Anolis sagrei: one gene and its partner. The main gene of each other region encodes a partner of the protein of the gene in region 2 in a complex. Links are inferred from orthologs where the notes say so. Each region holds a gene or a part of one and is shown on either strand. Other genes may lie near its edges.

Region 1 (8,450 bases), on a different chromosome or scaffold from region 2:
CAAGTACGCATGCACATTCGAACAGATAGCCAGATTCATAGATCATCACGGCTTCGTGGGAAGCAGAAATTCCAGGGTAGATGTAATGCTTTCATGTCTGTTTATTAATGAGCTAATGGGCACCTTGCTCTTCAGTTCAGGCAACATGGCGTTCAAGTTAATAGCTGCACCTGGCTCTCTCGTTTCAAGCCTTGGTTTTTGATCCAAGTATCTCATGGTCTTGTTTTGCATTCCTGTTCCAAGTATTGCTCATGGTTTTGGATCTTAGTGTACTCGAACTATCTTTGGACTATTTTACCCTTGGATTTACAAGAGAGAATTGATTACCAACTACTTGGATTAAATACCTGATTTCTTTATTGCTGTTTTTTTCCTATATATATCTTTTTGTGTGTTTTACAATAAACTGTTTGCTTCTATCTTGGACTCTTGTGTGATGCTGTGGTCATAGGTGGCTTCAGTTCCGTGCTGTGACAGGGATCAATCTAAGTCCATTTATTCATAGACTAAGAGCAGCATTGGAAAAGAATAAACCTCACTTTTCCCCAGATAGAAAATCGAATTGGTTTTGTTAGCTGCCTTGGGACTGCAGAGTACTAACATTCAACAGAATAAACAAGTAGTAAAGTTACTGTGGTAGGACTATTAATTCTGGCTTGCGTGCTTTCGAGTCTCATCTGACTTATGGCAAGCCTAGGGTTTCTTGGCAAGTTTTGCTTTGCCTTCGTTGAAGGCAAATGGGTTTCCACAGCTGATTGGATATTTGAACCCTGGTCTCTAATTCTACTCTCAAGCCACTATACCACATTTATTCATTTACTATATTTATATACCACTACTCTCAACCTGGAGGCGACTCAAGGCAGTGTTTTGCTCTCTAGTGCTAGTAATCCATGTGCATGGACAAACTTTGGCCCTCCAGGTGTGTGTGTATATATAGAGAGAGAGAAAGAGAGAGAGACCCCGGTGGCGCAGTAGGTTAAACCGCTGAGCTGTTGAATTCACTGACCGAAAAGTCAGTTCAAATCTAGGAAGCGGGGTGAGCTCCCACTACTAGCCTCAGCTTCCGCCAATCTAGGAATTTGAAAACATTCAAATGTGAGTAGATCAATAGGTACCACTTCTGTGGGAAGGTAACAGCGCATCATGCAGTCATGCCGGCCACATGACCTTGGAGGTGTCTATGGACAATGTCGGCTCTTCATCTTAGAAATGGAAAAGAGCACCATCTGCTAGAGTTGGACACGACTAGACTTCATATCAAGGGGAAACATTTACCTTTATATATGTGTGTGTGTGTTTTCTGCTTCCTAATGGGAGGCGGGTATTCACAACGAGGTTTGTTTGTTCCTTTCATAATAGCAAACTTATCCTGCATGTTATTCCACAGAAACATGGGGTATATTATTTATTTCCTAAAATCAGAAAACAGCCCTGAAACCACCAATGTTATCTTTTAAAACTCAGCAGAGGAAGCAACAGGCTAGTAGGAAGAAAGAATGAAGAATTACATGGCAACATGTAATGGTAAGAAAGGAAGGTAGAGAACATGACAGTGTGTGCTCATACTTTTCTATGGTGTAGTGATTGGAGCACTGTCTAGGGAGCATCTACACTGCAAAATTAACGCAGTTTGATACCACTTTAACTGCCATGAGTTCCTAGGATTTGTAGCTTGGGGAAGCACCAGCATTCTATGGCAGAGAAGACTATAGACCTTGCAAAACGACAATTCCCATAATTCCATAGTAATGAAAGTGATATAGAACTGCATTAATTCTACAGTGTAGATGCTAGGGGGGCTCAATGCTGGGATTTGTAGTTTGGCGGGGCACCAACACTCTTTAGCAGAGAAGACTCCAGACCTGGCAAAACCACAACTCCCATAATTCCATAGCAGTAAAAGTGATATAGAACTGCATTAATTCTACAGTGTAGATGCTAGGGGGGCTCAATGCTGGGATTTGTAGTTTGGCGGGGTACCAACACTCTTTAGCAGAGAAGACTCCAGACCTGGCAAAACCACAACTCCCATAATTCCATAGCAGTAAAAGTGATATAGAACTGCATTAATTCTAGTGTAGATGCTAGGGGGGCTCAATGCTGGGATTTGTAGTTTGGCGGGGCACCAACACTCTTTAGCAGAGAAGACTCCAGACCTGGCAAAACCACAACTCCCATAATTCCATAGCAGTAAAAGTGATATAGAACTGCATTAATTCTACAGTGTAGATGCTAGGGGGGCTCAATGCTGGGATTTGTAGTTTGGCGGGGCACCAACACTCTTTAGCAGAGAAGACTCCAGACCTGGCAAAACCACAACTCCCATAATTCCATAGCAGTAAAAGTGATATAGAACTGCATTAATTCTACAGTGTAGATGCTAGGGGGGCTCAATGCTGGGATTTGTAGTTTGGCGGGGTACCAACACTCTTTAGCAGAGAAGACTCCAGACCTGGCAAAACAACAACTCCCATAATTCCATAGCAGTGAAAGTGGTACAGAACTGCATTAATTCTACAGTGTAGATGCTAGGGGGGCTCCATGCTGGGATTTGTAGTTTGGCGGGGCACCAACACTCTTTAGCAGAGAAGACTCCAGACCTGGCAAAACGACAACTCCCATAATTCCATAGCAGTGAAAGTGGTACAGAACTGCATTAATTCTACAGTGTAAATGCTAGGGGGGCTCAATGCTGGGATTTGTAGTTTGGCGAGGCACCAACACTCTTTAGCAGGGGAGACTCCAGACCTTGCAAAACAACGACTCCCATAATTCCATAGCAGTGAAAGTGGTACAGAACTGCATTAATTCTACAGTGTAGATGCTAGGGGGCATCTACACTGCTGTTGCTCAATGCTGGGATTTGTAGTTTGGCGGGGCACCAACACTCTTTAGCAGGGGGGACTACAGACCTTGCAAAGTAACAATTCCATAACAGTGGAAGTGGTATAGAACTGCAATAATTCTACAGTGTAGATGCACCCTCTGAGCAATTGGAATTCGTTGAAAACAAAGGGGGGGAAATGGAAGGAGAGTCTGTTTACAAACCTAAAAAGCTTCCTAGCAAGGACCGGATTCGGCTCCCAAATCCCCTTCCTGGAAATATCTAACTTGCCTGCCAACAATTCAATATATGTATATGACTTATCCCTTTTCAAAGAGAGTATACACAAAAACACGCCCGCCCTTACCCTAAAATTCTCGTTTTCAAACTCGCAACGAAGAATCCATCTCTCCGATTTGGCGCTTTCTCGCGGGACCGTTCAAATTCTCCCGCGGGCGGCGCCACTAAACACCGCCCTTCTACACTCACTGCGCACGCGCCCGCTCTAAATGGCTGGAAAGGGAGACGACTGACGAAAGAAAGCGGCGAAAGGAGGGTTCCTCCTCCGGATCCCCTGCTGCGCATGCGCACTAGTGCTTGACTTGCTGCAAGTAGGACAAAGCTGCACTCTGCAGTCAAAACAGGTTAAAAGTATCAAAGTTCAATGCAGTCGCCTCCGGGAACTATAGGATGAGGAATTGCAACGGTGAAATAAATATTTGCATTTAATTATGCATTTATTAAATATTTTGAAAATTGTATCAGTCCAGAAAACAAAGGGTATGTCTACACTGTAGAATTAACACAGTTTGATACCACTTGGGCTGCCATGGCTGAGTGCTGTGGAATCCTGGGAGTTATAGTTTGACAAGGCTTTTACCTTTCTCTGCAGGGAGTGATGCTGCCCCAGCAAAGGGTCCCTTGGCACTGAGCCATGGCAATTAAAGTGGTGTCAAACTGAATTAATTCTACAATGTGGATGCAACCCAGTTCAATGAATGACTAGCCGTCCCCTACCACGCATTGCTGTGACCCAGTCTGTGTATATGTGTTTTGTGTGTGTATATGTGTGTGTATATATTTGTGTATATATGTATGTATGTATATATATATGTGTGTGTCTGTGTGCATATATGTGTGTGTGGTTTTCAGTGTTTTTATGAATGACTAGCCATCCCCTGCCACGTGTTGCTGTGGCCCAGTCTGTGCATATGTGTTTTGTGTGTGTATATGTGTGTGTATATATTTGTGTATATGTATGTGTGTGTGTGTGTTTTTAGTGTTTTTATGAATGACTAGCTGTCCCCTGCCACGCATTGCTGTGGCCCAATCTGTGTATATGTGTTTTGTGTGTGTATATGTGTGTGTATATATTTGTGTATATGTATATGTGTGTTTGCATATATATGTGTGTTTTTAGTGTTTTTATGAATGACTAGCCATCCCCTGCCGCGCTTTGCTGTGGCCCAGTCTGTGCACATGTGTTTTGTGTGTGTATATGTGTGTGTATATATTTGTGTATATGTATATGTATGTATGTGTGTGTGTGTTTGCATATATATGTGTGTGTTTTTTTAGTGTTTTTATGAATGACTAGCCGTCCCCTGCCACGCGTTGCTGTGGCCCAATCTGTGTATATGTCTTTTGTGTGTGTATATGTGTGTGTATATATTTGTGTATATGTATATGTGTGTGTGTGTGTGTGTGTGTGTGTGTTTGCATATATATGTGTGTGGTTTTCAGTGTTTTTATGAATGACTAGCCGTCCCCTGCCACGCGTTGCTGTGGCCCAATCTGTGTATATGTCTTTTGTGTGTGTATATGTGTGTGTATATATTTGTGTATATGTATATGTATGTGTGTGTGTGTGTGTCTGTTTGCATATATGTGTGTGTGGTTTTCATTGTTTTTATGAATGACTAGCTATCCCCTGCCACGCGTTGCTGTCGCCCAGTCTGTGTATATGTGTTTTGTGTGTGTATATGTGTATGTATATATATGCGTGTTTGCATATATATATGTGGTTTTGTGCAAGCATTGTAATGTATTTTTTATTTTTACTTTTTAAGTCTCTTCTGCTGTGTATTTCAGTGTTTTTATGAGTGTCGGTCACTTGTTGGCCTGATATGTGTATTGTGTCCAAATTTGGTGTAAATACGTCCAGTAGTTTTTGAGTTATGTTAATCCCACAAATATACATTACATTTTTATTTATATAGATGTGCTGTTGAAGGCTTTCATGGCTGGAATCACTGGGTTGCTGTGAGTTTTCCAGGCTGTATGGCCATGTTCCAGAAGCATTCTCTCCTGACATTTTGCCTGCATCTATGTCATGCATCTTCAGAGGTTGTGAGGTCTATTGGAAACTAGGCAAGTGGGGTTTATATATTTGTGGAATATTCAGGGTGGGAGAAATAACTCTTGTCTGTTTGATGCAGGTGTGAATGCTGCAATTGCCCACCAATCAGCAGGCAAAGGAACCAGTCAGTGGGCACACGTGCAGTGAGTGTAGAAGGGTGGTATATAGTGGCACCGTCCGTGGGAAAAATGGGAACTCCAGACAAGAAACAATCAGGGACAGCTAGTCACCCCTTGACAAAGGATTCCCCCAGGCAGTAAGACACACCTGAAACTGGCAGGCCATTGAATACTAATCAAGGAGGCCAATTGCAACATTCACACCTACCTCCAACAGACAAGAGTTCTTTTTCCCAGGCTGGATATTCCACAAATGTATAAACCCTATTTTCTAGTTTTCAACAGACAACCTCTGAGGATGCCTGCCATAGACACAGGTGAAATGTCAGGAGGGAATGCTTCTGGAACATGGCCATGCAGCCCAGAAAACACACAACAACCCACCTATATGGATGTATGTTTGTTCCATCAAGGCTCCTACATGGCTTCATGGATCCCTACCTAGCTTGGCACATGTATCCTTCATTATCCAACTTAAAATCTTGGCCAGGTTTCAGCTACAAACACTCACCCCATTGGGGGTTAGGAACCCCAAAACAAGTAATTATGTATATATGCATGCAGTACTCAGAGGCAACCACAAGAGGGCAGTATAGATAGGCTGCCTAAGAGAGGCAACAAATGTAAGGTAACTACAGCACCAGCAGAGTTAACGTGTGCTGAGAAGCTGAATCTTGAAACTTTTATAAACCCACTAGCACAGTGTTCCTCAAACTTCCTGATGCCATGACCCCTTAATACAGTTCCTCATGTTGTGGTGACCCCCAACCATAAAATTATTTTTGTTGCTACTTCATAACTGTAGTTTTGCTCCTGATATGAATCATAACGTAAATATCTGATATGCAGGGTGTATTTTCATTCATTGGACCAAATTTGGCACAAATATCCGATACGCCAAAATTTGAATACTGATGGGGTTAGAGGGGATTGATTTTGTCATTTGGGAGTTATAGTTGCTGGGATTTATAGTTCACCTACAATCAAAGAACATTCGGAACTCCACCAATGATCGAATTGAACCAAAGTTGGTACACATAACTCCCATGACCAACAGAAAATACTGGAAGGGTTTGGTGGGCATTGAACTTGAGTTTTGGAGTTGTAGTTCACCTACATCCAGAGTGTACTGTGGACACAAACAATAATGGATCTGGACCAAACTTGGCAGGAATACTCAAATATGCCCAAATGTGAACACTGGTGGAGTTTGGGGAAAATAGACCTTGACATTTGGGAGTTGTAGTTGATGGGATTTATAGTTCACCTACAATCAAAGAGCATTATGAAACCCACCAATGACAGAATTGGACCAAACTTCCCACACAGAATCCCCATAACCAACAGAAAATACTGCGTTTTCTGATGGTCTTTGATGACCCCTCTGACACCCAAAGGGGTCCCGACCCCCAGGTTGAGAAACACTGTCATAGATTCTCAGCTGGTTCAACATAGTTTGTGGCAGCCACAAAAACAAAGTTCTGAAGTATTACAATTTGTTTCAAAGTAAGTATCACACAATTAAACAGGGAAATAACACTTTGAAACCAGAACATTTTTCAAATTTTATTACATAATGTTATTGTCATCATTACTAATAATTTGACATTGCATATTAAGCAGAGTATTTTTATTTCAGTAGTTCTGCATTAAAAAGAGAAAAAGTGACAAGGAAATCACAGCAGGTTGAATAATACGAAACATCAGCAATATGCCAGAAAACCCAAAGGTAGACACATGTAGGACTTTTGTGATTTTTCTCAGGATCACAAGTACAAGTAATAACGAGCCCACCACCCATTGTCAGGGTTTTTTTTAAAAAAGGTGCCCTCTTTCAACAACGCCCCCGTTTTGACAGGTCTGTGTGTCACTCTGGAATAATCTATACCTTTTATATTAATCTCGCAGTCATTATCGTCGTCCTGTCAAATCGAGTTAAAGCAATCTCAGGAAGGCGGCTTTCCATGCGGCGTTGCTGAGCGACGGCAAATGCAGTTTTGCTTCCATGCTGTCTTTTCATCAGGCCGGATCACGTTTCCTTCCCCTTAAATGAGCCTTCTTACTAGCTGTCAAGGAGACTCAAATGCCTCGGGCAAACCATTGTAATTTATTATTATTATTATTCATTACTGTTATCAACAGTATTACGAGTAAAATATTCCCTGTGATACTGTACAGCAGATAGCTGGAGAATTTCTTTTGATGGTATACCATGCCTGGCCCTTCAGGGATAGCTATTTTGACGCGAGAATCAGTTTTATTTTACACACACTTGACTTGAGCTGTGAGACCCTTTGAGAATTGTAAGTTATGCTATAGGAAAGTTTATTTTATATTCCACCAAGTAAACCCTTTTAGTATGTTTCTTTATCATTCACATTTAATTACAGCCTCCTTCCATTTCTATTTCTTTCATTTATTATACATTTTATATCCCACTTTGCTGGGATGGATAGAGCAGCAATAATATTTAGTTTTAGATGAACTTTTATTTTGCACATGTATACGCAAGTATTGTTATTTAAAACCACATTCCCTGCCATTTAGGGTGCAGAATATAATAATAAAACTTTATTTATATACAGCCCTATCTCCCCAAGACCACTTGGGGAGATAGGGCTGTATCTCCATGACTAATAGATAATACTGTATTTTCTGATGATCTTGGTGACCCCTCTGATACTCCCTGGTGACCCCCCAGGGGTCCCAACCCCCAGGTTGAGAAACACTGGTATAGGGCTTTATAGGTAATAACCTGCACTTTGAATTGGGCCCGGAAACTCATCGGCAGCCAGTGGAGCTGCTTTAATAGGGGCATGGTATGCTTCCTATAACCAGCCCCAGTTAGTAATCTGGCTGCCGACCTTTGCACTAACTGCAGCTTCTGAGCCATAGTAGTCTTAAGAATATAATGTCCACCTTCCCAATGTGCCATATTCACTTCCTTCCCATTCAGGAAAATGGAGAACCATAACTAGAATTGAAACTATTTTAAAATATACACTTAAAACAAAATAAACTGGAAATCTGGGGAATGTGCCACATCCCTGTCTTCCTGAGCAACAGCTGATCAATAAAACGTAATCTACAAAACACTCAGTTGTCATCAGGGGTAGTGAATATGCATAACTTTGAAGGCACTTGT
Region 2 (7,486 bases):
CAAAAACTACTGGACAATTTGCTGCCAAAATTGGCCACAAGACACCTACTAACCCAAGGAGTGACCATCACTCAAAAAAGTTGATTTTGCCATTTGGGAGTTGTAGTTGCCAGGATTTATAGTTAATCTACAATCAAAGAGCATTCTGAACTCCACCAGTGATAAAATTGAGCCAAACATGGCTCACATGACCAACAGAAAACTAGAAGGGATTGATGGGCATTGACTTTGAGTTTGGCACAAACTTGGCACAAGCACTCAATACGCCCAAATATGAACACAGATGGAGTTTGGGGAAAACAGACCTTGACATTTGGGAGTTGTAGTCACTGGGATTCACAGTTCACCTACAACTCCACGAACGACAGAATCAGGGCAAACTTCCCACACAGAGAACAGAAAATACTTAAGGCCATCCAATCCAACTCCCTTCATCAGGGCAAGAAAACGTAATCAAAGCCCTCCTGACAGAGAGCCATCCAGCAATAGATATAGATAGATATATATGATTCACACACACACAGATAAAGTATTATAGATTTGAAAGGGACCCTTAAAGAAGGACTATGATATGTTGCATATTCCAGAGTAGGCAAACCAGACACTCTCCATATCTACACTGACAAAGAAACAGCAAGAAATTCTGTTTACCCACAAGAAGACAGACAATTACATATATTAGAAACCAACACTTTCTCATTACTTCATTTTCCAGAGCACCAGACTGGGCCACAGCAACGCATGGCAGGGGACAGCTATCACATGGAAATATATTGTATGTTATTATCATAAATACCGTATATACTTGAGTATACACCGACCCGAATATAAGCTGAGGCATCTAATTTTACCACAAAAAACTGGGAAAATGTATTGACTCGAATATAAGCCGAGGGTGGGAAATGCAGCAGCTACTAGTAAATTTCAAAATAAAAATAGATACCAATAACATTATATTAATTTAGGCATTAGTAGGTTAAATGTTTTTGAATATTTACATAAAACTGTAATTCAAGATAAGACTGTCTAACTCTGATTAAACCATTATTATTACCTTCATCAATATAAATATGCTTACTAGGCTTGGGCGGTTTCGTTCGTTAATTTCGTAATTCGTTATTAATTCGTATTTAAATTAGCTTATGATCCAATATTGAGCCATGCAGGAATAGTGTGAGGAGTAAATTAGATTCGAAACAATTGTTTCAATTTATTTCGTAATTGTTTCCTAATTTCGTAAAAATAGGGCCTTCTCGGTGGTGGTGCCACGGCTGTGGAACACCCTTCCTGTGGACATCAGGCTAGCTCCCTCCCTGTTGATATTCCGCAGGAAATTAAAGACCTGGCTGTTTAAGAAGGCATTTGAACAAGAAGTGCAATGATTGATAATTTGACCATAGGAACGGAACAATGGAAATGATATCGGATTGTGGGTTTGACGATGAGACGACATGGAATGGCTTTTGTAGTAATGTTGATGTTTTTGATTAGGAGGTTTTTGATAATGATGAATTATGGATTGTATTTGCACTATGTCTTGTATTTTGCACCTGTTTTTCTATGTTGTACACCGCAATGAGTCGCCCCTGGGCTGAGAATTGCGGTATATAAGCGCAGTAAATAAATAAATAAATAAATATTTCATAATTATTTTCGCATGTCTGGTGCAAGTTTTATAGTTGTTGTTTGTTTTATCACACCAACAATCAACAACAGAGGGAGAGGGAAACTTCAGAAGTTCCCCCTGTCCCATTTGGAGGGTTTTTTTTTAGCATATTGCGCAATCGCGTCCGCCATTCACGAATCACGAATTTTGGAATTCTTTAAAAAAAAAAAAAACGAAACGCAAGGGCCCCCTAAAAACAAAACGGGTTTAGAACCAAATTTTTCCGTGGTTACCCAAGCTTACATGTCCAATAATAATAAATAGAGTAAAATAATAATAATAATAATAGATTAAAGTAATAAATGTAATAACAACAATAATAAATAATAAATGCAATAATAATAATAATAACAACAACAAAGTAAAATAATAAATAACATTGACTCCAGTATAAGCCAGGGGAGACTTTAGTATAAGCCTAAAAAAAGGACTCTCCCAAAGAGAGGGTGCCTCCAGGCAATAGAGGCCAGGCTACCTCTATGCAGAGACCCTCACTGATTGACTTTGCAGCTTCATGGCTACTCAATGCTCATCAATATATATATATTACATACATATTATACATTTTATTATATATTTATTTTATTTATTATATATATATATATATTGTATTTAAAGTCAAATGTAATTTTACAACAAAAACACAATAAATAATTAACTTTCATAGATAAGAACATACACTATATTTTCATTATATATATATATATATATATACACACATATATCATATATTTATATATTGCTTTTATGTATGAAATTCATTCATGTATTGTATTTTTATTGCAGGCCTGGGCCAACTTGGGCCTTCCTCCAGGGGTTTTGGACTCCAACTCCCACAATTCCTAACAGCCGCTAGGCTGTTAGGAATTGTGGGAGTTGGAGTCCAAAACCCCTGGAGGAAGGCCCAAGTTGGCCCAGGCCTGGTATAGCTATATCTCTATCGATGCAGGTCTGCTCACCGGGGGCCTGGAGGTAGAGCGAGGCGAAGGCGGCGAGGAAGGCGGCGGCGAGGCCGGCCAGGAAGAGCTGCCGGGAGAGACGCTGACCCTCCGCGCCCGCCATGGCGACTCCCGTCCTTCCTTCCACACCGCTTCCCAAAAAATCCCCTCAGGCCGCGGGGGTGGGATCCCAACTCCCAGAAGAGCGCCCATTGGTCCAGCTCCACTGGGAGGGCGTGGCCTACGGAGAAGTAACCAATCGGAAACGAAGGGGCGTGGCTCCAGAAAGCTTGGGCCTTGCTTTGACAGAGGAGAGAGAGCTCAGAACGCCCGGGGGTCGCGCTGATTGGATGAATCTCCAGAAATAACGAATCAGAGAAGAGGGCGGGGACTCTACAGAGCTTTGACCCCTGATTGGCTACGTCTCGAGGGAAGGGCGGGCACGGAGGCGGTGAGCAGCACGCTCATTGGCTGAATCTCCAACTGAGGGAAGAAATAACGAATCAGAGAAGAGGGCGGGGATAATACAAAGCTTTGCCCCCTGATTGGCTATGTCTCGAAGGAGAAGGCGGGCACGGAGGCGGTGAGCAGCACGCTCATTGGCTGAATCTCCAACTGAGGGAAGAAATAACGAATTAGAGAAGGGGGCGGGGATAATACAAAGCTTTGGCCCCTGATTGGCTATGTCTCGAAGGAGAAGGCGGGCACGGAGGCTGTGAGCAGCACGCTCATTGGCTGAATCTCCAACTGAGGGAAGAAATAAGGAATTAGAGAAGGGGGCGGGGACTCTACAAAGCTTTGGCCCCTGGTTGGCTACGTCTCGAGCTCATTGGCTGAATCTCCAACTGAGGGAAGAAATAACGAATCGGAGAAGGGGGCGGGGACAATAGAAAGCTTTGGGCCCTGATTGGCTACGTCTCGAGGGAGAGGGCGGGCACAGAGGCATTGAGCAGCACGCTTATTGGTTGAATCTCCAACTGAGGGAAGAAATAACGAATCAGAGAAGAGGGCGGGGATTTTACAAAGCTTTGGCCTCTGATTGGCTACGTCTCGAGGGAGAGGGCGGGCACGGAGGCGGTGAGCAGCACGCTCATTGGCTGAATCTCCAACTGAAGGAAGAAATAACGAATGACAAACGAAGGGGCGGGGCTCCAGAAAGCTATCGCGCTGATTGGCTGAATCTCCAGTCGAGGGAAGAAATAACTAATCAGAGAAGGGGGTGGGGACTCTACAAAGCTTTGGCCTCTGATTGGCTACGTCTCGAAGGGGAGGGCTGGCATGGCGTCGGTTAGCAGCACGCTTATTGGCTGAGTCTCCAACTGAGGGAAGAAATAACAAATCAGAGAAGGGGGCGGGGACTCAAGAAGGCGTTGGCCTCGCTTTCACGGGGTAGGGCTCAGAACGCTCAAAGATGGCGCTGATTGGCTAAGAATCGCGAGAAAGGCGGCGCCGAGAGAAGAATTAACCAATGAGGGGCGGGATGGGCGGGACGAGAAAGAGTGACTGAGGAGCACCGAAGGGGGCGTGGCCTGGAAACCAAAAGGGGGCGGGGCTTGAAGCGGCAACGTTCCTCCATCATTGTAGGCGTGGCTTCGAGCTTGTGGGCGTGGCTTCAAGGTGGATACAATAGGCAGGGAAGAGGGAGGTGTCACTCTGCGTCGCGTTCCTTATACGTCACCTTTTGGGCGCCGTCGACGCTTGTGGATGGCGTCACGAGGCGCGTCGGGCGGGAAAAACGAAAAGAACCAGCCTTCTTCCGTTGAGAGGGAATGCCGAGCGAGGTAAGGCCTCTTTTCCAGCTGGAATAGCCTTGAGAAGCCTCGAAGACTGCCAGGCCCATCAGTGAGGCGAACTACAACTCCAAAACCCAGCAGCACTGTCTCCTGACGTTTCGCCTGCATCTATTGCCAGTGCTATCTTCAGAGATTCCGTTGGATTGTCTGTATCCCTGTGGAATAATGTCCTTGATGAGCATTGAGTAGCCATGAAGCTGCAAAGTCAACCAGTGAGGTCGTCTCTGCATAGAGGTAGCCTGGCTGTTGTGCCCTGGAGGCACCCTCTCTTTGGGAGGGGTTAACTGGCCCTTGATTGCTTGCTGTCTGGTGTTCTCCTGTCTCTCAATGGTGTTCCTTATTTACTGTCTTGATTCCGGCGGGGTTTTTTTTTTTTTTGAGAAACTGCAAGTCGCTTCTGGTGTGAGAGAATTGGCCGTCTGCAAGGACATTGCCCAGGGGACGATACTCTGATGTTTTGATGTTTTCATCATCCTTGTGAGAGGCTACTCTCATGTTCCCGCATGAGGAGCTGGAGCTGACGGAGGGAGCTCATCTGCCTCTCCCCGGATTCGAACCAGCAACCTGTCAGTCCTGCCGTCAAAGGGGTTTAACCCACTGCGCCACCGGGGGTTCCTGTAAATACTAGTAACCAGAGTGATTGACAACTGGTAATTACATCTCGTTACATCCCGAATAGATTACTTGAACACACTCTTCCATAAGGAAGGCTGAGCAAAGGAAGAGAGATGCTTTGGAACTCTGGTGTTGGAGGAAAGTGCTGAGAGTGCCTTGGACCGCAAGAAGATCCAACCAGTCCATCCTCCAGGAAATAAAGCCCGACTGCTCACTGGAAGGAAGGATAGTAGAGGCAAAGATGAAGTCTGGGTTGTTGTATGTTTTTTGGGCTATATGGCCATGTTCTAGAAGCATTCTCTCCTGACGTTTCGCCTGCATCTATGGCAGGCATCCTCAGAGGTTGTGAGGGTTGTAGGTTTTTTCAGGCTATATGGCCATGTTCTAGAAGCATTCTCTCCTGACGTTTCGCCTGCATCTATGACAGGCATCCTCAGAGGTTGTGAGGGTTGTAGGTTTTTCAGGCTATATGGCCATGTTCTAGAAGCATTCTCTCCTGACGTTTCGCCTGCATCTATGGCAAGCATCCTCAGAGCTTGTGAGGTCACAACCTCACAACCTCTGAGGATGCCTGCCATAGATGCAGGCGAAACGTCAGGAGAGAATGCTTCTAGAACATGGCCATATAGCCTGAAAAACCTACAACAACCCAGTGATTCCAGCCAGAAAGCCTCCAACAATACAAAGATGAAGGGCCATATCATGAGAAAACAGGAAAGCTTAGAGAAGAGAATGATGCTGGGGGAAATAGAAGGGAAAAGGAAGGGGGGCTGACCAAGGGCAAGGTGGGTGGATGGTGTACTTGAAGTGACTGGCATCACTCTGAAGCAGCCTCAGGGGGTGGTCACGGCTGATAGGGAGCTCTGCCCTGGGCTGGTCCAGGAGGGCACCAAGTGTCGGAAGAGACTGAACAAATAAACAACAACAACACTGCCTCCACGTTTTCTCCCTCTCTTTGTCAGTTATCAATCAGTCTGGTTAGCAGTATTTAAAAATCTGGTTACCGGTATTTAAAAAAACACTAGAATCAAGAAAGTAAATAAGGAACACCACTCAGAAAAAGGAGGACACCAGACTGCAAACAATCAAGGGCCAGTTAACACTTCCCAACCAAAGGGTGCCTCCAGGCAATAGAGGCCAGGCTACCTCTATACAGATATCCTCACTGATTGACTTTGCAGCTTCATGGCAACTTAATGCTCATCAAGCTTGGCAATTACAACATTCATGCTTGCTTCAACAGACAAGGGTTCTTTCTTCCACTCTGGACATTATTCCACAGGGATACAGACAGTCCACTTGCCTCATTTCCAACAGAATCTCTGAAGAGGTGAAACATCAGGAGAGAATGCTGCTGGAACATGCCTGGACAGCCTGGAAAACTCACAGCAACCCAGTGATTCCGACCATAGAAGCTTTTGACAACAAAGCAAACTTCAACCCTCCAGGTGTTTTGGACTTCAACTCCCACAATTCCTAACAGCCTATCGGCTGTTAGGAATTGTGGGAGTTGGAGTCCAAAACACCTGGAGGGAGGGCCGAAGTTTGCCCAGACCTGCTTTGGCAGCTCGTCAGAGAGATTCATGCTCTCCAGACCTTCTCCATTCTCCCGTGTTTCGATGTGCTCCTAACCTGAATGTTTACCTTTCAGGTGTAGTCCAAGCTGGAACCCTCCAAGGCCCAAATGCCTTCGTTTGATGGTGTTTGATTGCGTTTCTGGCCTGGTGGGGAATGGCCGCCATGGAAGACGCCGAGTCCCGCTTCATGCACTTCCTGCAGCCCATTCGGGACCTCACCAAGAACTGGGAGGTCGATGTGGCATCTCAGCTGGGAGAATACCTGGAGGAGGTGAGGTTCAGAACCCAAAACAAACACTGGGGGCGGCTTCATTCAACCGATCGGAAGGCATGCAAAGCTTTTACACGAGTTTCCAAGCCCACTGGTGTTTTCATTGTGATTGAATGGAAGGAAAACAAATGTGAGGTTTTTCGAGTTCCCCAAAGCCTGCAGTTTTGTATATTTCAGCCTGATGGATTCAAGCAGGTAGAAAGTTGATGCTTCTCTCTCAAAAAAGGAGGTGGAGAAACAAAAGCAGCAGAGGATGTCAAAGAAGTCTAAAACATGTCAGTCCTTCTTTTTAGGCCATCAGGTCTCTTCCCTTCAGATGGGTTCTGACTCTCTCCATTGGTGCCTCAAATTTATTTATTTTATTTATTCCGGGTACTTCTACCCCGCCCTTCTCAACCCCTGAGGGGGGACTCAGGGCGGCTTACAAAAAAGGCACAATTCGATGCCTATACAAATTACACATAATGTACAATTCCATATTTAAGACAATTATCACAGTTAAAACAATCAAAGCAATCAGTATATAACATATCATATAAAAACTATTCTCATGCTCAGCGTTTTGTTTTTCAGAGTTCCATAGTTCTATTCCATTAATCATTTCCTGACCATTGTCAAAGTCCTTT

What was found.
Region 1: the proteins of NCAPH2 (region 2) and NCAPG2 are in contact, whole or in part, in a cryo-EM structure (PDB 9F5W), measured with the Homo sapiens proteins. The link is inferred for Anolis sagrei from reciprocal best matches to the Homo sapiens genes NCAPH2 and NCAPG2. Residues at the interface, in NP_689512.2 of Homo sapiens: Pro316, Trp317, Gln318, Ser319, Leu320, Pro322, Phe323, Asp324, Ser325, Leu326, Glu327, Ser328, Lys329, Pro330, Phe331, Lys332, Lys333, Gly334, Arg335, Pro336, Tyr337, Ser338, Val339, Glu344, Gln360, Asp361, Phe362, Gln364, Trp365, Tyr366; in NP_001268861.1 of Homo sapiens: Lys248, Leu251, Gln252, His292, Ile294, His295, Leu296, Pro297, Arg299, Ser300, Val302, Lys340, Ala341, Arg342, Asn343, Ser344, Glu345, Val346, Pro388, Tyr389, Pro390, Arg393, Gly425, Glu426, Ala428, Phe429, Asp430, Thr431, Ser432, Arg437.

The regions. Positions count from the first base shown.
Region 1 is NC_090026.1:118,100,562-118,109,011, reverse strand, and holds the start of NCAPG2 (condensin-2 complex subunit G2), read right to left. Parts: upstream 3,311-8,450; 5' UTR 3,195-3,310; intron 1-3,194. UniProt on the Homo sapiens protein: Regulatory subunit of the condensin-2 complex, a complex which establishes mitotic chromosome architecture and is involved in physical rigidity of the chromatid axis.
Region 2 is NC_090025.1:198,024,476-198,031,961, reverse strand, and holds the start of NCAPH2 (condensin-2 complex subunit H2), read left to right. Parts: upstream 1-4,216; 5' UTR 4,217-4,385; intron 4,386-4,398; exon of another isoform or gene 4,399-5,047; intron 5,048-6,663; 5' UTR 6,664-6,743; coding exon 6,744-6,860; intron 6,861-7,486. Other genes in the region: LMF2 (lipase maturation factor 2), read right to left, coding at 2,626-2,728. UniProt on the Homo sapiens protein: Regulatory subunit of the condensin-2 complex, a complex that seems to provide chromosomes with an additional level of organization and rigidity and in establishing mitotic chromosome architecture.